Linked DNA regions of Ovis aries. The protein of the gene in region 2 interacts with the protein of the main gene of each other region in a biochemical or structural test. Links are inferred from orthologs where the notes say so. Each region holds a gene or a part of one and is shown on either strand. Other genes may lie near its edges. The genes, in order: KAT7 and JADE1.

Region 1 (3,024 bases), on a different chromosome or scaffold from region 2:
AACTGAAAAAAATTTTTAAATTGACATCAGTCAGGGCTACGGTTTTTCCAGTAGTCATATATGGATGTGAGAGTTGGACTGTGAAGAAAGCTGAGCGCTGAAGAATTGATGCTTTTGAACTGTGGTACTGGAGAAGACTCCTGAGAGTCCCTTGGACTGCAAGGAGATCCAACCAGTCCATTCTAAAGGAGATCAGCCCTGGGATTTCTTTGGAAGGAATGATGCTAAAGCTGAAACTCCAGTACTTTGGCCACCTCATGCGAGGAGTTGACTCATTGGAAAAGATTCTGCTTCTGGGAGGGATTTGGGGGCAGGAGGAAAAGGGGACGACCGAGGATGAGACGGCTGGATGGCATCACCGACTCAATGGACGTGAGTTTGACTGAACTCCAGGAGTTGGTGATGGACAGGGAGGCCTGGCGTGCCTGTGATGGGGTTGCAAAGAATTGGACACGACTGAGTGACTGAACTGAACTGAACTGAACTGAGATGGCATTTGTTAAAGGAATTTAAAACCACTTCTACAGGCCCTGGAGGTTATGGAGATTCTCCTCCACAGATGGGCACTCTTCTCTGATGTAAGAAAATCATCAAAGGACAGAAGTGCAACATAAAGCTGCTTAACTAGAGCTGTTAATGCTTCTGTCATCCAAGTATGAGACAGGAGTTTACCAGAAGCTTCTGATAAGGGTACAGTCGGAGACAAGTCTAACAGTGAGAGCAAAGGAAAAGCTGCATGGAGTCAAACTCTTTAAAAAGGGAAGGTTACCTTTAAGGTGTGAAGGTTCCACTTTGCTAGGCCTCAAGAGACATAAAGCAATGAGTAAAAGGCTAACAGAAACTTTACCTGTCTTTTCAAAACTAGGTGTTTTCCTTTCCAATACTTGAGCATCTGAAGGGCTTGCAGAGTGCTGACAATGTCCACAGGATTCACAGCTGTCTCCTGGCTAATTTCTGAAACAGAAGAGCTACTTGCTCAAAATGCAGACCTCCCCACTCCCTTACCAAGGACCCCTTTCCTTTGAAGGAAATCTACAGACTCCAAATATTTGGAATCTTTGCTACTTGACCCAAGCTGTCCACAAGTTTATAAAGTATTCATCTGACCACTTAAAATAACTACAAAAGAGGGGCAGTACAGCAGGAAACCACTTTGGCTCCTATAGACATTGAAGTCAAAGAACAAACTAAATTATTTCACTCTTGCATAAATATTCCAGGATGTTAGAAGTTCCTGTGTGTGCCAAATGACTTGAAGTTTTTCTTCTTTCTTGCTTTTGTTGAGAATTTTGTGAAATAAAGTGTTAGCAACCTAAAATTTGAGAAACCAAATCAGATAACCAGTCCCTAGGGCCAAATGCTCTGGAATCCTTAGGCACCTTGGTGAGTGGTCCACATCAGTTAGCCTTCCGCTCTCATATTCAGATGCAACACAGAATGTGGCATTACCTTCGCTGATTACAAAACATGAACCAGGCCAAACAGAAAAGTCAGAATATTCAGAGGAGCAAACATCTTAGGTAACATTCTCTAAGAGCAAAAAACCAACCTTTGATAGAAATCTCTTTGCCTTGGAAATTGTGCAGGTAACGAAGAAGCACTTCTTTCCAGTAACTGCGATAGCTTATGAGCCCCAGATCTGACAGTGGACGTTCTGGGGAGCCAACTTTTTCTTCCACTTTGGAAAGCAAATAACCTGCCAGAGAACAATGCAGATACTGTATCTCATCCTAATAAGAACAGCGTACCAAAATGGATAAAGATTTAAGGAATAGAGTCTGCTTGGCAATATCCATCAGGGTCCAGTCATTTAATGCAATGCTATGTATTAGCTGTAGTACAGTTGACTGCCTTTGTACAAACAAAAGGGGACGAATGAGTTTTCACATTTACTTATAATAGACATTTAATATAAAAGCCTTCTAGTGGAAGCCTGCACTAGAAACTTATTAATATTAATAGTTATCTGTAGGTATGCATTAAGAACAAAGTAGATAAGGAATTCCCTAGCAGTTCAGCGATTAAGACTCAGCGCTTTCACTGCCTGGGGCCCAGGTTTGATGCCTGGTCAAGGGTCTAAGATCCCACAAGCCAAAAAAGAGAACAGAGTAGATGGAAACAGATTTGAAAGCCATTTCACTATATAGCTTTCAAGCTTTTTCAGATTTTTGCACTTTATGGATTATCTCAGAACTTGCCTGGTGGTGAGGTGGACAAGAATACTCCTGCCAATGCAGGGGGTAAGGGTTCAATCCCAGGTCCAGGAAGATTCTACATGCTTCAGAGCAACTAAGCCTGAGCACCACAACTGACGAGCCTGCACCCTTAGAGCCCCAGAGCTGAAGCTGCTGAGCCTGAGTGCCTAGAGCCTGCGCTTCGTAATAAGAGCAGCCACCGGAATGTGAAGTCTGAATAGCGTACCAAAGAGTAGCCCCCGCTCGCTGAAGCTAGAGAAAGCCCAGGCAAAGCAACAAAGACCCAATGCAGCCAAAAATAAAGTAATTTAAAAAAAAAATTTTTTTTTTAAGTAACCCTAAAAATTCTTAAAAGAAAAAAAGAATGGATTATCTCAGTACTGCCTATGAAATATTGGTGGTGGGCAGCAGATGGGAATAGACATGATCTGAATTTCACAAAGTCTCCAGTTTTAACAGCTAAACATCTAACTTTCAACACCAGGGGGATGAAGTCAGCAAACTCATACTTCAGGAAACTAAAACTACTGGATAACCAACTTAAATAAATAGCAAAGAAAAAAAAGAGATGGAGCGGGAACCTCTAAACTAAAAACTGATTTATAAGCTACACAGTTCTATCTGTATTTGTATAAAAACAACTTTTTTTTTTAAAGAATCAAATCACAAAATAATGAAAATTTGAATAGTGTATTTTATGACATTAAGGAATTTTTTGTTTTGTAGGGCTTTTTGAGGTATAACAGACATTATACTTTTAGAGATTCCAAAATAACTGAGGGTGTGACTATAAGTAAAACAAGACTGGCCATAAAATGATAATCATTAC
Region 2 (3,816 bases):
AGCTTCCCTAGGGTGCAGAGACTAGTCTCACGCTGTCTGTGCAGGGTGGTCCCAGTCTCTGATTCCTTGCATCTCTTTGGGAGTTTTTAATTCACCTCCTGGGTCTTGAGCAACCCTCACTGCTGGGAGGAGTGTGCCACCCGTGTTGGGCCTCGTCCTGGGGGACACGGGAAGGGCCCCCATGATCCTGTAACATCTCTTCTTGAGGAGATTTCACCACTCAGGCGTTAGAAAAGCTCAGATGGGTAAAAAAGCAAGTGAATGCCTGAGAGTGCACGCTGTGTATTGAGAACATCTGCACGTGCCACCTGTATAATTACGTGGGCCTTACGAGGTGATTCTGGATGCAGTTGCTTTTGTAAGAGAGTTACTGTTTGGTTAATGAAAAAAAGCCTCCTGAATCCCAAGCCATAGCTTATGTAAAACACAATTAGATCTGCCAGGGGTCATCCACGTGAAGCCGTTCTGTCCCTGAGCGCTCCAAGTGCAGCTCTTCCCGTGTGTGTGCGTGTGTGCATGCGGGTACACGCGCGTGCGGGTGGACGGGGTGCTTGCGCTCAGGGCTTCGGGTCCTGTCCCTCCCTAACCCCACCGCTTGCTCTCTGTTTTCTCGCCAGTGCTCCGTGAAGAACTGCCGCACAGCCTTCCACGTGACCTGTGCGTTTGACCGGGGCCTAGAGATGAAGACTATCTTGGCAGAGAACGACGAAGTCAAGTTCAAGTCCTACTGCCCGAAGCACAGCTCGCATCGCAAAGCCGAGGAGGGCCTTGGTGAGGGGACCGCTCAGGAGAATGGGGCTCCCGAGTGCTCCCCGCGGGATCCGCTGGAGCCCTTCGCTGGCCTCGAGCAGAACCGGGGGGAGGCCCACCGGGTCAGTGTCCGTAAGCAGAAGCTGCAGCAGCTGGAGGACGAGTTTTACACGTTCGTCAACCTGCTGGACGTGGCCAGGGCCCTGCGGCTGCCCGAGGAGGTGGTGGACTTCCTGTACCAGTACTGGAAGTTGAAGAGGAAGGTCAACTTCAACAAGCCCCTCATCACTCCAAAGAAAGACGAAGAGGACAATCTAGCCAAGCGGGAGCAGGACGTCTTGTTTAGGAGGCTGCAGCTGTTCACGCACCTGCGGCAGGACCTGGAGAGGGTAATGATCGACACTGACACCTTGTAGTGGCCTAGAGAAGACGACGGCAAAGAGACGGCCGCTTGCCCAGAGCAAGGGACGGTAGCCGGTTCATTTACTCTCAGACCCTGTACATACCGCAGCATGAGGTGGTGTTGGTTCCATATATTAATGGGCTGGGAAACTCGATGTACGCACACGCAAGATGACCGCAGAATGGGGAGCTTCTCTGGTTTAATTTTAAACACTTGTAGTTAACTGTTCTGGGAGATCACATGGGGTACCTCTTTACCCTCCTCCATTCTAGAGCTAGAGGGAACTGAGCCCCGGGGAAATGGCCAGGGGATGGGCTTAGAATTGTTTACAGACTGAAAAGCCAGAATGGATTTTATGGTGTGGGGGCTGGGGCGGGCGGGCAGAGGCAGGCAGATCTTTTGTTCAGTCTGGGGCGGCACACCCGACGTGCTGGTCACTGGCTCTCTGAGGAGAGCGGCGCACTGCTTCTCGGGCCCAGCCCCGTTCCTCGGCTCCTCACGGGGCCGTCGCCCTCGCAGTCACTGACTGAGCAGAGCAGGCGTGGGTGCTAGCCTGCGTGCATCGCCACCGCGCCCCTGCGTGTCTGCTCCCCCAGGCTCTCCCGCAGCGAGGTGCTCCGTCGTCACCGAGGCTGTGTGTGTGTGCCCGTGACTGTGTCCGTGTGTCTGTCTGTCTGCTCTGTCTGGTGTGGGTGTGGGGTGGGATTCCTGGTGCACAGAGGCCTGTGATCTGACTGAGGAGCCCGTGGGCACAGTAGCACACTCCGTTTCACACTTCTGGATCACACTTCAGCCCGCAGTCTCGGCTGGCGGCACTTCCCTTCCGCTGTTGCTGCTTTGTATCTCCCCAGCGTCTCTGGAGTCCCCGTCTGGACCTCCTTTCCTGCTACTGGAATAATCAGGAGCGGGCTGTCTTTCCCCCCTGGCCTCCTGCTCCCCGTAGGTAGCTTCTGACTGAAGCTTACTAATTGGTGATGCATCTCTGAGCACCTTCTGTGGCAGCTCCCCTGATTGCCCTGCTGCCAACAGCCGGCTCCGATTAAATTCATTAGTGCACGGGAGATGGAACGGAGGAGCAGCCTGTGCTGAAAGGCACCCAAGTGGCCTGAAATGGTTAACGCATCTCCCCCAAGCACCTAACTTATTAGTGATTCACCTGCCTGGGAGAGAATCTGACTCAGAGCTGATGGGAAGTGAGAGCGTAGGCAACGAATAGGGTTACGTGGGAGAAGTACCGAACCCAAAAGCCCCGGCTCTCACAGACACCAGCACCACCCTGGCAGAGGAGGCGTGGCAGGGAGAGTATTGGTGGGCCTGCGTTAGAAGAGACTGTTCTAGAACCTGACGGTGACACCGCACCAGGATTCAGGCAGAGGGGAGGCGAGGGGTGTGGAATTGAGGCTCTCCTGCTCCCGTGCCCCCCCTGGTGGTGAGTGTGAAGAAGACCTCGCCTCAATCACAGGTCTGTGTGACCTTTTTTGTTAGCGATGAGAAAAGGGTTCAGAAGGATAAAGTGGAATCCTGGTGAGAAGCCTTGTCCCAGCCCGACAACTGCTGTACTCGGGGTTGCATGAGCTTTGGAGTCAGTCCTCAGGAGGGACGACGAGAAGTCTGATGTTTGGACTGTGTGTGTCTCGATCACCACAGAATAAAAGTGTAGAAAACGCTCGTGGTGTACTAACTTCTGTACTGCAGATACTCAGATTAACACGCACTTGAAATTCTAAAGTTTTTTTTTGAGTCATCACTTGCTTTCTAAGTAGAATGCCAATGATGTATGAGAATAGGGAATAAATCGGGATTTCTGTCTGTGTGGCATTACTTGCGTTTACTTTAAAGAGTCGTTAAGATTTTAGGGCCTTTAGTGTCAGTTTAAGCTTATTAAAATGAAAACCATGTTTTCCAAAATGTGCCACAAGGCCAGTTAGGGTGGAGGCTTTAAAAAATGGAAATCCTGGCCTTGCTGCAGAGAGTACAGTTATTTGTAATTATAAACAGTAGTGGGCAGAAGACTCCTCAGAGCAGGGGTGACAATAAGAACAAATCATAAATTTGTTTTCAAGTGAGTTGAGTCTTGGGTAATTCACACACTAGGTAGTGTAATTCACACTAGGTAATTAACATTTCTTAGTGGTTAATAAGAAGGACATGATCAAGGCATGTGTTCCCTTCAGAACTGAGGAGTGAATAGGCCTCGTTAGAAATGCAGACAACGCTGAGTGATAATGGTGGTTGTTCCTGCAAATACACACCTTGGGGGCGCCTTGCACACCTGCGTTCCAGTTCTGGACCAGACAGGTGACAGGAATGGTCTCCCAACGGTGTGGGGACCTGAAGACACCATTACCGATGAGGCGGGTGCCATGCCAAGTTGCCAAGGCTGCCACTTCATTCTGGTGGGATCGCCCTCCCCCAGACATTGGCTTCTGAAGGAAGCACTAAACATGAATTCAGCAGCAGCAGAAGGAGTACTTTCTCAGATAAGAATACACCACCTCGGCACTGGGGCATCCAAACAGCAGGCCCTGGGGGACCATTCTGTCCAGCTTTAAGTGGGATGGTCACTTTTGACATTCTGATAGAGGCTACAGTTGTCGTAAACATAAAAGGCAAGTTAAGCTCTAGTGTTGCAAGCAGTGTTTGGGATTCAAGAAAACTTGAGA

Evidence for each region.
Region 1: the proteins of JADE1 (region 2) and KAT7 form a complex in vitro, tested with the Homo sapiens proteins (2 studies listed by BioGRID). The link is inferred for Ovis aries from reciprocal best matches to the Homo sapiens genes JADE1 and KAT7.

The regions. Positions count from the first base shown.
Region 1 is NC_056064.1:36,546,575-36,549,598, forward strand, and holds part of KAT7 (histone acetyltransferase KAT7), read right to left. Parts: intron 1,697-3,024; coding exon 1,550-1,696; intron 955-1,549; coding exon 848-954; intron 1-847. UniProt on the Homo sapiens protein: Catalytic subunit of histone acetyltransferase HBO1 complexes, which specifically mediate acetylation of histone H3 at 'Lys-14' (H3K14ac), thereby regulating various processes, such as gene transcription, protein ubiquitination, immune regulation, stem cell pluripotent and self-renewal maintenance and embryonic development.
Region 2 is NC_056070.1:29,204,662-29,208,477, reverse strand, and holds part of JADE1 (protein Jade-1), read left to right. Parts: intron 1-617; coding exon 618-1,139; exon of another isoform or gene 1,140-1,267; intron 1,268-3,816.